Alligator mississippiensis: one gene and its partner. The protein of the gene in region 1 purifies or fractionates together with the protein of each later gene. This does not show direct contact. Links are inferred from orthologs where the notes say so. Each region holds a gene or a part of one and is shown in the gene's direction. Other genes may lie near its edges.

Region 1 (7,737 bases):
CCACTGAGGCATCTACTCTGCCCTGTGCCCTGGGGTCGAACACCCCCCGTGGACTCAGGTGCCACTCATCGATGTGCCTGGCCCACAGCTTGCCCCCTCTCTCAGGGACTGAACTGCTCTTCTTACAGGGTCTTCCATCCCTTCAGGCTCAGGTGCTTCTCAAAGCAAACCTGGCCTCCACTACTCCCCTTCAGGATCTTGCATCCCAATGAGCACAGGTGTCCCCTATGGATGTCCCTGGCCCCACTACTCTCTGATGTTATCACTGTGATCCACCGAGTGGTGGAGGGGCAGGGCTTTAGGTGCCCCAACCCACCATACACCAGGGAGGTCCTTGATCCTGGAATTTGCTGGCCCTGCCCTGCCACAGGCAGGACCACCAAGCCTCCCTAGCTCAGGAGGGTGCGGTTTTAGGTCATGCCCAGGACCACTAAGGCCTCCTTCTTCCCCATAGCCTCACCCTTACCTCCAAGCTGTTCTCAGAGCAGCAGCTCTTCCAGGAGACATCACTTCCTCCATATCTGACAGCAGAGTACTGCCCCCAGCCCTGCTGGCGTGGTACTTAAAAGGCTGCTCATCAGGGCTGGGCTGCACCTGCCTGCTGTCTGATCCAGGTCTTAAGGTGGCAGAGCCCTTACAATGTTTAACAGGGAAGGCTTTTCCCTGCTGCTCCCCAAAACAGGCTCCCCCAGAGCCTGTGACAGCCCTAAAGTGGCGAGCACCCCACTGGTGCTCTGCCACATCCACTGTAACCCCCAGGTCCTTTTCTGCAGAGCTGCTGCTTAGCCAATCAGTCCCAGCCCATACTGGTGCATGGGATTGTTCCATTATGGGTGCAGGAACAATCCTTGTCCTTATTGAATCTCAAGAGATTTCGTTTGGTCCAAACCTCCAATTTGTTGAGGTGTCTCTGAATCTTAGCCCTACCTTCCAGTGTATCTACTACTCCCCCCAGCTTGGTGTCATCCATGAACTTGCTGAGGGTGCACTCCATCCCATCTTCCAGGTCACTGATGCAGATATTGAACAAAACTGGCCCCAGGACCGACCCCTGGGGCACTCCACTTGATGTCGGCTGTCAACTAAACTTTGAGCTATTGATTGCTACCCTCTGAGCTCAATAATCCAGCCAATTTTCTATCTGCCTTACAGTCCATTCATCCAACCTGTGCTTTCTTAATTTGCTTGAGAGAATATTGTGGGAGACCGTATCAAATGCCTTGCTAAAGTCAAGGTATATCGTGCCCACTGCTCTCCCTGCATCCATAGAGCTAGTCATCTCATTATAGACGGCAATCAGGTTGGTCAGGCATGACTTGCCCTTCGTAAATCCATGCTGACTGTTCCTAATCACCTTCTCTTCCAAGTGCTTAGAAATGGATTACTTGCAGATCTGCTCCATGATTTTTCTAGGGATTGAGGTGAGACAGATGGGTCTCTACTTCCCTGGATCTTCCTTCTTCCTTTTCTTAAAGATGGGCACTATATTTGCTCTTTTCCAATTGTCTGGGACCTTCCCCAATCAACAGGAGTTTTCAAAGATAATGGCCAGTGACCCTGCAATCACCCTTCCTCAGGACCATTGGGTGTGCCCTGTGTAGCCCCATGGACTTGTACACATCCAGCTTTTCTAAATAGTCCCTAACCTGTTCTTTTGCCATTGTTGGCTGCTCATCTTCTCCTCAAACTGTGCTGCCAGGTACAGTAGTCTGGGAGCTGAACCTGCCTGTGAAGACTAAGGTGAAAAAGGATTGAGCGCTCCAGCCATTTCTACACCCTCTGTCATTAAGTTGCCTCCCCCATTTAGTAATGAACCCATACTTTCCCTGATCTTCCTCTTGTTGCTGACATACTTGTCAAACCCCTTCTTTTTATCCTTCACGTCCCTTGCTAGATGCAACTCCAGTTGTGCTTTGGCCTTCCTGATTTCATCCCTGCATGCCTGAGCAATGCTTTTATGCTCCTCCATAGTTATTTGTCCAAGTTTCCACTTTTTGTAAGCTTTCTTTTTGTGTTTTAGCTCACTGGAATTCCCTGCTAAGCCAAGCTGTTCTGCCATTCTTGCTAGTCTTCCTGCGCATTGGGATGGTTTGTTCCTGCACCCTCAGTAACATTTGCTCTGCACCTTCACAACATGATGACTAGCTCTGCTTAGTGAAATGTTATGTCCCAGCTTTCTTCCTCTTTACAAATGAGGTAGATGCCTCAGGTATCTAAGCTTGTGCTTTCTTCTATTTTTTTTGCAGGTGGCTTTTGGCACAGCAGCCTGATAGACAGAAACCTCATTGATTTCTTTGTCCCCTTCCTACCTCTGGAGTATGAACATGTGAAAATGTGTGTCAGGGTGGAAATGGAAACACGTGGTTACCCTGTGGATGAAGACATTGTAAGCAGAGTAGCTGATGAAATGACCTACTTCCCCGAGGAGGAAAAATTGTATTCTCGAAAAGGATGCAAAACTATACCCAACGCTGATTTTGATTAGGAATAGTAATGTTTTATGATGCTGCAATCTGCAAAGCAGCAAATGAACTTAAGAAGCTCGGGGAAAACCAAAACTTTTTATTATTTTTCAAGCACTTTTTCTTTTTTTTTTTTAGAAAAGAGAGCAATACCATTTTTAATTGTCTGTCTGATTTAAATAAGTGGCAATCACTTTCATTTTTATCCAGGGGAAACTTTCAGTAGCTACAGCTCCTAAAAAGACTTTGTGCAAGAATCCACAAAGAGGGAAGAATTGTACTTTAAATAAGAATTAATAAGAAACAGAGCTCTATTACGACCATGTAATGCCTTATACTATACATTACTTCCTTTGGGTAACACCTTGCATTTAGGGAGCACACTTCTTCCTTTGTCTTCAGTTTGCCATACATTCATTTATTAGCTCAAATGTAGTCAACAATAAGCTCTGTTCCTGGCTCTGTGCCACTGAGTGACTGCAGAGCCTTAGACTTCAGGCCTGTGCTGTTCAGTTAGGAAAGACGTGTCTATGGAGAAGTTGCCCCTTATGGATCATTGTTTAACGTGATTATTCTCAGACCGGGTGTTGATTGTTAGTTGTGCAGTAGAACCCTGGTACACGTGCTATGCCAGTTTTCACCACGTTGTTATTTGATGTGGAAATGATCTCGGTATTGTATGGCACTTTTTAAACAGAACTCTTATGTCTTCAGGACCCTTCCTCGGTGTTGTAGTTGGGAATATCATCAGACCTGCTTTGAATGGTGAATACATTGGGGGGGGAGGGGGGGGGCAGTTTCCTTAGACTACAAACATTTTTGGTGCATTCAGCTCTGTTGGAACCAATAGGTGAGAGAACCTGGTATAAGACGTCCGGTCCTTATCACCTGGTTTTATGCAGTGCCATTATGAGCAAATCCTTTGGTGCCAAACAGCGTTAGCAGTGTGAGGCATCCAGCTTGCTAGGGGAGTATTTTTCAACAATGCTGAGAAAAAAACCATACCCTAAAGCAAAATCCGTGACAGTGTCCCTGCAATGGAGGAGGTAGCCTGTACTTTTAGCTTTTTGATATGTGAAGTTGGATACGCAGTTTGTTCTCATGCTGGTGTTTCTCCTGCCTTGTGGGATCAATGTAAAAGGTTGTTGGGTAAAATCCATTGAGGCTTCTTGTTCAGATAGTTGGTTTCAGTCACAGGCACTGGGAACTGACCGCACATCTTAAGTCTTCTTTATTGTGTGGTTGGCATAAGGGACAGTTTGCTTTACTCACCAACTTTTATAAATCGATCCTGTTTAGTATGTTTGTGATCTATCCTTGCTTTTCCCCCCAAACATGAGGCAGAGCTATTAAGGAACAGATGAAGATAAAACACTACCTTGAAAAAGAATTATGTACTGTAAGGATTCAGCTAAAGTTATTATATGTGCCAGTCATATTTATACGTCGAAACACTACTGACATTTTTTACTCTGATTTCTAAATAAGATTTGTATTTTGTCAATAAAAGTTTTTAATCAAAAAATGCTTATCGGCTACCTTTCCAGTATGTGTGGATATGCATCGTGGACTGACTTAATGCTTCATTCTAGGCAAGTTTCCTGCCTAATAAGGACAGCTTACTTTTGCTGCTTTCTGCTCGAAACATAATTGTGCCTGGATACGAATCTCTGGTTTCAGGGATACTCAGGGGGTTGGTGCTGGAGATGGACCCCGCTTTTTTCTCATCGCTGAAAATAACTGTTGAGAGCCTAAGACTGCACGGATTTTTAAATTGGACCCAAATTAGTTTTGCAGAAGAAGTGTATTTTGGAGGAAGAAAACGGAGCAGCGAGACTTGTGCTTTTCCAGTGTGTTCTCGTTGGAGGCGGGTAACTCGCGAGCTTCGATCCGGTTGTTCTCGGAGCCGGCTCGAACGAACGACGGGACCGGCCACAACGCGGCTGTGCTGGCTGCCGCTTCTCTGTGGCTGCGGGGAGTCACCTCTGCACCCTGCATTTTGTTTGCTTGGACTTATTGCGGGGGGTGGGGGGGGTATTCCCAACTACTGGCCTTATTTCTGGTGCGCTGCCTTGAGATAACACGGGTTGGGTCGTGCCTGGCTCCCTGTGCAGGGGTGGTGTGTGTGCAGGCACAACGACTGCACGTGCAGGAGGGTGCGGGGGTCACGTGACCGCCCCGCCCGTTCCAAAATGGCCGCGCGCGCGCCCTGCCCCAAACCAAAATGGCGGCGCCGGAAGCGGCGGAAGCGGAAGCGCCGGTGAGGGGCTCGGGGCCGGGGCCCGGCGAGCCCGGGGATGAGGCGGCTGCGGGGCGCGGCGGGCGCCGCCCTGGGCCTGGTGCTGCTGCTGCTGCTGAGCCCCGCGCGCGCCGTGGAGCCCGTCAGCCTGGGGCTAGCGCTGGCCGGGGCCGCCTCGGCGATCACGGGCTACATCTCCTACCGGCCCCTCTACTGCCTCTTCGCCGAGTGCTGCGGGCCGCGCCTGGGCCGGCACTTCGGGCCAGGTGAGGGGCCCTGCCCTGTGAAGGGAGGGGGCTGCCCCGTGACGGGCTGGGCTGTGGTGGGAAGGTGTCCTGTTCTGGGGGGGCTGCCCTGTGAGAGGGGTTGGGGCGCCCCTGAGGGGAGCTGGGGCCTGCATTAGGGAGGGCAGTCGCTTCTCTTCCGGCCCAGCCCAGCCCTCGCCTCGAAGGGGTGAAGAAGCGGGTGTCCTCTCTCGCTTCCCAAGTTCTGACTTTAAACCTGCCGTCTCCCTTTTTTGCGTGCCGCGGCTGGCGCGTTCGCCGCAGCCCTGCAGCAGGATTTGGAGAAGAGGCTGTTCGGCCAGCACCTCGCGCAGAAGGTGATTGTCAAAGCCATCGCCGGCTTCCTGAGCAATGCGAACCCCAAAAAGCCTCTCGCCCTCTCGTTGCATGGCTGGACGGGCACAGGCAAGAACTACGCCAGTAAAATCATTGTCGAGAACATTTACAAGTCGGGCTTGAACAGCAAATACGTCCATCAGTTTGTGTCCACTCTGCATTTTCCACACGCGAGTCTTATCAGGCAATATACGGTAAGGGCACGTTGTGGAGCTGGTCACGCTTGAGGGTCGATTGTGAGGGACAGCCCTTCTGTCGCTTTCTGAAGCGTGTCGAACCAGCAATTCCCAATCCGTGGTACGTGTATCACCAGTGGCACACAGACCACCTGTCAGTGGTACGTGCTAACAGCTTTGTTATAGTTACTTTATACGACAAATTTGCTGGTGGTACTTAAGGTTGTATTGTTTTAAATCGGTGGTGTGCGATCTCTCAGAGTTTGGGAACCGCTGGTGTAGAAGACGGTGTTTATGCACCTTTTTACATCCCTCTTGAGGGGGAGAGTATGAGACCTTTCATTTTCCTTGTTGTATATTTTGGTCCAACAGTCTGGTTGACTTGATGATAACAGGGATTCTGGATACAATTGGGTATCACACTTGGATATAATGCTGATGGGTGCTATAGAAAACCTTAAGATAGATTGAAACAGCTGTGGTGACCAAAGCCAGGAAGTTGGGAGACGGGTTTAATTCCCAACTGTAAAGTAGTGGTAGTACCTCACAAGGAGTGTTGAGGCCCAGTTATACAAAGATCATGAAATGCTCAGATGAACTAGTAATAGGGTCATAAAACTACCTGAGACGGAGACTGTGCGCAAGAAATGGCATTTCTCTGAGTTCTTGTTCTGACTTTGCCACTGACTGTTTTGGACAATTCACCCTCCTTTCTTCCTGTGAATTGTGGTTGATGCTTTTCCACCTGTTCAGTAGTTGGCGAATATTTATATTATGTCCTGAACACATAGACACGGGGTGGGCAAAATATGGCCTGTGAGCCAAAATATGGATCTGTGAGCCAGATTTGGCCCATCAGCTGTTTGGATCTAGCCCAGAGGTGGGCCCCTACCAATTGACTGTATATGGCCTGTGGCTGTCTCTGCATTGCTCTGCTTGGGATCTGAGTCCTGCCTGCACCTGCTGACAGTCCCAGCCCTGTCCAGCATGCACAGCTTCCTGGAGGGACTGCTGCTGCTGCAGCTGCCTGGGTACTGCTCAGCACGTCGTCCTCCTGCTTCCCTGGCTGTGCCACTCTGGGCAGCAGGTAGTGCAGGGCAGTGATGACAGCTGTGAGGACGTGAGCCTGGCACCATGTGCCCAGCCAGGCAGGGGGTTGGTGGGGGAAGCTGCAGCCAGGTGGCTCTGCCCTAGTGCTTGGGGCTCCAGCTTCCAGCTACCTTTCATGCGCTCCGCCCACCTGGTGCAATGAGCAGCCACCTGCAGGTGTTTGACTGGGTGGAAGGTGGTGAGACAACATAAGTGTTCTTATATGATGTAAGAAAACACTTGAGTAAGGTTATCCACTTTTCTGAACAAAATCACACATTTTCAAATGTTTTAAATTCCCTCCAATTAGATTATGTGCTAGTGGTTAAAGGATAAAACCAGACATCATGAATTCTAGATTTTGTTCCCATCTAAGGCTGTACAGTCAGTCACCGGCACAGCTAGGAACAGAGCTTCTTGTTGACTGCATTTGAGCTAGTAAGTGGATGTATGGTACTTTGAGGTCAAAGGATGAAGTGTGCTATGTAAATGCAAAGCATCATCCAAAGAAAGTAGCATGCCATATACGGCATCACTTGGTCCTGTTAGATCTCTGTTTCTTATTCATTGTCATTGTTTTGGCTAAAGTACAGTTCTGTCCTCTGCTGATGCTTGCACAAAGTCTTTTCCTAAGAGCAGATTATTTCTGGCATCTCATTTTTTGAGTTCTTAAGGTTATTTGAAGAACCCTTAGGTAAATCTCTTGCGGTATTATTTCATCATTATTTATTGCTCTGATGCAGATTTCAGTGAAGAAGTCCAAGCTATGTTGGATGACAATTTTATGTTAGATCTTTTATACAAAAGACAGGGATCTAAAGTCATCGCGTGCTCTGTGTGTTCAGTATGATCTTGTGCACATGGAGCTTACATCCTTGTATCTTTGTGTACCATAGGATGACCTGCAGTCCTGGATTCGGGGGAATGTGAGTGACTGCGCCAGGTCAATTTTTATATTTGATGAAATGGATAAAATGCACGCAGGACTCATAGACTCCATTAAACCATTCTTAGATTATTACGAGCAACTTGATGGGGTGTCTTATCGGCAAGCCATCTTCATCTTTCTCAGGTAAGGAATGGCCTTGAATTGCTTACAGTGCTAAGACTGAGGGCCCTATGAAATAGCATCCAGCTCATAAACTTTTTCT
Region 2 (6,859 bases), on another chromosome or scaffold:
CCTCCCCAAAATCAAGGCTTGGCTGGCTGCATAAAAATTGGAATTTTTCTCCTGTGGTTTCACTGGCTGCTCCGTCTCCCCTTCAACAGGGTGAAACAGCCAAGGAAAGGCTAAGAGCTGTCTTCCTGCCACATAACTCTGTAGGGGACAAGAAGAATAACAGTCCATCATGGGCAAGCAAGAAGCAGTAGAGAGAGGCAGAGGGAAAGCAGTTGTGTGTTGGGAGGGGGGTTTGTAGGTCTCTGGGCTCCAGTCGCCTGCTTTGCCCAGGGGACTGGTTTTCTGTCTTGTTACTTAGCAAGGTTGGGTTTTTTTGGCTGAGTTACAAACTCAGGGAAAGGCCTGAAATTCATGGATTGCATACAATCATAAAATGATAGAAACATAGGGTTTAAAGGGACCTCCAGAGGTTATCTAGTCCAACCCTCTGCTCAAGACAGGATTATCCCTATCCAAACTACCCCAGACAAGTACCCTTCCAGACTAGTCCACACAAAATTGTATGTACAACCCTCTTGCCCAGGTATCAGGTACTGTGCCCAGAAACATCAAGGACACTTTAGCTGACCTCAGGTAAAGCAGGGAGATGGGGGTACTGTGCAGTCCTTTGTTAAGTATACTTGAGAGATCCACAGAAGAGAAGCATGCTTCCTGCTCCAGAGGAAGGTTATACCCTGCCTTCCCCCATAGTTCTTGCTGATCAGACCATGGGGCAAAATTCCTTCCTAATCCTAAATATGGTGATTGGTCTGGTACTGAGCAGAGGAGCAAGACCCTTTAGTCAGGAACCTCTGGGTTTAAGTCCCATCAGGACCCCAGACGTTTGCAGCTGCTGGAGGGAAAAATCTTCCTTCCCATCCCTCATATGGCAACTAGCAAAGTTCAGAAATGTGGGAAAACCAAGCACCCTCCATTGAATCACAAGCACAACTACACCCATCCATCGCGCGCTCTAACTACAGAGCCAGAACCCCTCTTTCTGTCATCCTATCCCTCCTATAAACTTGTCCCAGCTTTTCAACCCTGATTTATACATGAGCTGGTTGTGGAGCTCCGCTTCATTCTTCACATTCCACTCTGGATTCCAGAGCTCTTCACATGAGCCTCAAATGAGATGTACGTGTGGATCTCCTGGGCTTCCAGCCGTCGTTCTTCAATGCACACTGCAAGCATTGCTACCCCTAGGACATCCCTGACCAATGCTTATCCAATCTCTTCTTGAAAGCCTCCGATGAAGGAGGCTCCGCAGCTTCCCCAGACAGTCTATTCCACGGCCTCGCTGTTCTAACAGATTTTGCCTGGGCTGAAGAGGGACTTCATCAGTTTGCATCTTGTCATATTGAAGTATTGAGCTGCATGCTTTTAACCTTGGTAAAAGCCCCTCTGCATCGTATTTCTGAGACTAGTTTGCTGCTCTTGTTCTTCTCACTTGTCTGCAGCTTGTGTTTAGCCTCTGTTCGGGCCTGTCTCCAGCGAGGCTTGAATCAGCTTGGTGCCTTTCTAGAAATAAAAAAAAAAGGAAAACATGAATTCAGACTTCAATGTTGATAGATTTGCTGATCTCATTTATGCTGAGCCTTAACTCTAAATACCAGGCCCAGGCTCACATTGTCCTAGGGTGGTGGAATTTTCTCCCTGGTGAGATGCATTTTGCTGACTCATAGTGCTCACTCAAAGCAGATTCATGTTTAAAAAAGAATCCTGTTACCCCACAGGCTACAAGGTCAGATCCAGTTGATAGGACACTCACTCTCTGTTGGGATGAGCTACTAACTACGTTACTGTACTGTAACCAAGAGAGGTGACCAATGAACCAGGTATCTCCACGGTCACTTATCTAGAGCTGGGTCTGCTAGCCAGCGGTATAGCCATAGCAGCACAGACCAAAGGCGGTGTCTGCTCAGAGGAATAAATGATAGGAGCTTGGTTTTCCCATCTGAGATTCCTATTAATCTCTGGCTCATGCTGTCCTTGTTTTACATTATAGCAATGCTACTAATAACTTGTATCATCTTTTACAAAACGTTTACTCTCTCTGTGCCTCAGTTTCCCAATCTGTACAACGGGGACATTGCTTCCCTACTTTACAGGGCTGTTATGAGAATAAGTTTGCAATATACCTGGCATACATAAAGCATTTTACATCTGCAAGGCATCAAAGAATGTTATGAATGACAGAAAACAACACACTGCTTACAGCTTTTTCTATTACGGGGTATATAACAAAACTGATCTAATCGATAAGTGAAAGGGGTTGCTTTACACCAGAGATTGTCATCATTATTTGGCTGATGTGAATGTTCATCGCTATCCTCTACTGGAGAGAATCAGAACTGTTCAGATGCGTGTCAGACCGCACAGACGGCTAACGAACATTTTCCTCAGACTTTATGTTTGTAGGGCAGGAGGGTGGGAATTCTCTCTCGCTGCTGGGGCAGTGAAATCCTAAATGGCTAAATGGCGTGCAGCAAGTGCAACATACACAGGCCAGTATTGCTAACACTCGTGGGTTTCCTAAAATCTCAAGTGATTAGTTTGGAATTTAATTTTTCCTGTAACAATCTAGCCGATATAGTGCAGAGAAGAGCTTGAAACATCCTAAACATGATCAAGAAGCTCAAAAATCAGAAGGTAAATAAATAAACAGAGCATAATATTTATTATTTGTTTTTAACTTTTTTTTTTATGCAAGCAAATATAGAAGCAAAACTCCAACAGTCGAGTAACAGACTTGAATTGCACAAGATTAGAGGTATTATATATTTACAAAATAAATAATATAAAACAATTCTTATACCTTACCTGTATTATAAATAAAATGTTTATATATGTAAATATAACACTCATTAATGTTCAAACAATCTGGAGATGGACACTGGCTTAGTGGCTGTATGGATGTATGTGTGTATACACACACATATATGTGTATATATATGGATATGTACACATATGTGTGTATACATATATACGTATATAGATATGTATACACACATGCATATATATATCTCCATATTACATATATATGCATATATATACAGATGTGTGTACACACGCACACACACACATATTTGTGTGCATGTAGATAGATTGACTGTTAACTAGACAGACAAATAATCTATACAAATTAACTTTCATCACTTTATTATCTAATAAGAAATAAAGCATACCTAGATTATGTTTGGTCTATGTCATAGACCTGCCGTACTGTTTTGGTCCTTGCGTATTTATACATTCTTGCCCTAAAATTAACTTTATTTACCAGGGCCCCTGCTCCCCGCTCATAATTTACCCAGTCCAATCTCTGTCATTTGAATCTCCAAACAATCCTTATTTGCATATTTATAATTTTTAATCTCATGAGGTTTTTGTGGTGTGGACAACTTGATATTTACACTGCCTTGCACAGGATGCCCAATTTTCCTATTTGGCATTAGGACCCGCTTTCTCCGGACAGGAGGTGGCCCTCTCATGGCAGACGCGTGGGGCGGCTTTTTCTCCAGCCTCCCCTATCGAGCCAGCCGTGCCGCCACGAGGAAGCTCGCGAGACGCCTTTCCGAGACGCTGCCCCTTTAAGAGCCCGCCAAACCCTGCAGCAGCACTCCGTTCTTCTCCTCCTCTCCGGCCCCACCCCCCTGCCCGACGCCGAGCCAATCGCGGCCCACTTCCTCCCGGCGGAGCGCCAATCCAGGCGCTCCACGAAGGGCACCGCTGGGCGGGAGGCGGGGGAGGCGGGAGAAGCGACGAGCGACGGCATCGCGAGCCAATAGTGCCCGGAGGAAAGCCCCGGGGCGGGAAGCCGGCGGCCGGGTCGGCCAATGGGGGAGCGGAAGCGCAGAGCGGGGGGCGGAGCCAGTTCGCGCTAGATAGGCGGGCGGCGGCCCGGAGCGCGGCACGTGACGGGGGCGGTGGCGGCGGTCGCTGCTGCTTGGGGGGCGCGAGCCGTGAGGTGAGTGCGTGTCCCCCTCCTTCACCTCCCCCCGGGGCCGCCGGGCGCAGCCTGCGGGGCTGGGACCCCCACGGGGCGGGCGGGAAGGGTCCAGCACCGGTCCCTTCAGGGGCTCGGCCTACTCGGGCCGCTCTGGGCGGCCGGTGCCCTCCTGGGCGCTGCCTGGCACGTGCGCGCGCTCCGTCCCCGCCTGGAGGAGAAAGAAAAAGACTTTCCCCGATTGTGCCGGTTTATTCCCCACCTTTCTCGAGCAGGGGTGCGATGAGCTCGCGCCAAACGGGCTTTTTTCCCGCTTGGATGATGGTGCTCGCGTCGGGGGGAGGCTGCTTCTTACGTCTGCTGTAGAGCTGAGGAAATTTAAAATATTTTTTGTATTATCATCATTATTATTTCTATTATTATTATTCAGCCCGATGTAATAAACCTGACTTGCAAAATCGTGTGTCTGCCCGAGGCTGCGCTGAGCTGCTGGAGTCCAGCCACGAGGCCACTCAGGTTTAGCCAGAGCAGTTATTATCATCACAGTTTGGGGCCCAGCTGTCTCGCCTGCTCGGTGCAGGGGGCTGCACCCAGTGATCTTCCTGGCCTGACGGGTTATGAATTCAAGACACGTGTCTTGTGCGTAAATCCCTCTTCTGTGTTATTTTTTTTTTTTAAGGTTCTTTTAAAACAAAACCATCCCTCAGTCGTTTTCTGCAGAGCTTCTCGTGGAAACGTTGGTATCCAAATCCCGTTCACTGCTGGAGGGTCTGGAATATAGCCAGTGAGACTGATGAGTCTCTATTCATCCTGGATAGGGGAAAACCAATGCAAACTGGTAAAAGGAAGTGGTCAAATTTTAATAGCAGAAGTAGAAAAATCATCTTTTTTTGGAAGCCCTTTCATTAGACAGGTCTCACTTCTATTTAAAAATGATTTGGCTCCTTAAGGGTTGAGTGAAACACAGCCATCTTGGCAGGATGGGCAACTTAACTTTTATTTATTTATTTATTTATTTATTTATTTTTCATACCTCACTTCTTCCTCCTGTTAAATGCCTGTTTTTACCTATTTAAGCTTGATGCTTAAACCAACCCTGTTCTTTGTAAAGGTTTTTATTGCTTTGGAGTACAGGACAAATTAGACTTTGTTTCTAGATGAGATGTCAAGCTTTCTAAATAATCTCTTCACCTTGTAAAAAAAAAAAAAAAAAAAAAAAAAATCTTGCGGGGGTTGAAAGGAGTTTTTTTTGTGTTGCCTTAGCAGTTCCTGTGTGTTAACCATCAAAAAGCCTGCAGTGTTGTCTGTTCTCCAAGGACTTCCAGTTCTGCATGAATGACCTCTTTGCTGACAAACAGCGCAGAATTTTCCTTCGCCGTGCCTATATTGATGCAGCTTATTTTTAGAAGCTGACATGTTTGAAGACTGTTACTAAAAGCAGGTTTTTGCTTGGGTGTTGTATATTATTATAACTAATCTCTTGATTGTCTGAGCCTGTTATAGCAAACATCATAAAGAGTTGGCCCTGTGGGGGTGCTGGTTGAATTTCCTGGGCACAGCTGTAGATAACTAAAGAAGTTTCTGTGAAGTTCATGGAAATGTAGTATCTCTAAATGACGTGGTATTGATTAGCCCCCCTGTCTGCTATAGCCTCTTCTAGGAAAGGTGCCTTGGCTCGTGGTTGAAATTGAAACTTAAAGATTTAACTATATTAGAAGTTGCCATTCTAGGACTGGAAAATTTTGTTCAAAACTGGTGGAAGCAGGGGCTGTATCGGTGGATATATTTACTGTCTGTCCATAATACGATAATTCAAGTACAGAAGGGATGTAAGTAAATAGTGATTATGCTTTAACACTTCCGGATCATTGCTGTTCCTCACAGCTGCCTTTACTGTTGGTTTTGTTTTGTTTGTTTCTTTCCCTGAAGTGAAGTGTATGACTTTGTGTCCTTTGTACAAAATCAGTTGGCTTGAGGGTGTGTTGAGTAGTCTTTAGGAACCCTGGCTGAAGGGTAGGACCCATCTTTCTAGTTGTCCACAAACATACTGTGACAGTCTGTTTAGACCAGAGGTGTCCAACTCCTCTTGTGTCCTGGGCCAGACAGGCCATAGCTATCCCATAGCATGCAGCAACAGTGACGGCTCTGCCCCCCAACCCAGGGTATGCAGTGCAGCTCTGACTGCTGTCACGTGCTGGAGCTGCTGCTTGTGCTGCTACATTGTGCTATGGGGGCAACTCTGGTTCTGGTACGAGACATGCAGTGGCTTGAGCATGGGGCAGTGGCAGGGCCGGCTGAGCCAGTAGGGCTGAATCAGTGGCAATGGGCAAAGCCCTTCTGCCACTGATTGCCATGTCTATAGGGGCCCTTGGCCCTGCCTGCAGCAGGACACTCTATCCCCAACCATCTCCCCCAAAACTTCCAGTGGCTTGCTTGTAGCCTGGCTGGCTTCTTGTATGGCCCTCAGAACTGCTTGATTTGACACCCCTGGTTTAGGCAAAGCGTTAGTGAAAGGTAATGTTATCTTAATTTCCAAATGGAAGAACTTGGAAGACTGTCTTGGTGCACGTCATGCAAATAGTCCACTTAACTGTATGAACACAGGTTTCCACAGTCACGGCCTGATATTGGAACTGTGACATAATCTTTCCCCCTCAAACACTGGTCAGTATCCTCTGCCCACACATTTTGTAATACAGTGGCTGTAGTCCAAACCTTCATTTGGATTAGGCTCTCCTGCTCTTCCGAATTGGTTATTTAGAATAAATGCTTTACTAAATAGGCAAGTATGCTTTAACAAAGCACTACCAACAAATGGCAACCAAACAGTTAGTGGATTATGGTAAATTCTATGGCTTTAATTGCTTTAGGTTATAAGTGATTGTACAGCATTGCATAATTACAGTATGTTCCTTGCCCGGAAGAATCTATGGC

The links. The genes of interacting proteins can lie anywhere in the genome.
Region 2: the proteins of torsin-1A (region 1) and CANX purify together in Homo sapiens (affinity purification with mass spectrometry; 4 studies listed by BioGRID and IntAct, counting the BioPlex papers as one, with this or other methods). This does not show direct contact. The link is inferred for Alligator mississippiensis from reciprocal best matches to the Homo sapiens genes TOR1A and CANX.

Annotation. Positions count from the first base shown.
Region 1 is NC_081835.1:58,706,759-58,714,495, reverse strand, and holds the start of torsin-1A, read left to right. Parts: upstream 1-4,737; 5' UTR 4,738-4,759; coding exon 4,760-4,967; intron 4,968-5,249; coding exon 5,250-5,515; intron 5,516-7,482; coding exon 7,483-7,658; intron 7,659-7,737. Other genes in the region: torsin-1A, read left to right, coding at 2,247-2,485. UniProt on the Homo sapiens protein: Protein with chaperone functions important for the control of protein folding, processing, stability and localization as well as for the reduction of misfolded protein aggregates.
Region 2 is NC_081832.1:74,511,736-74,518,594, forward strand, and holds the start of CANX (calnexin), read left to right. Parts: upstream 1-3,849; 5' UTR 3,850-3,946; intron 3,947-4,389; exon of another isoform or gene 4,390-4,564; intron 4,565-6,859. UniProt on the Homo sapiens protein: Calcium-binding protein that interacts with newly synthesized monoglucosylated glycoproteins in the endoplasmic reticulum. It may act in assisting protein assembly and/or in the retention within the ER of unassembled protein subunits.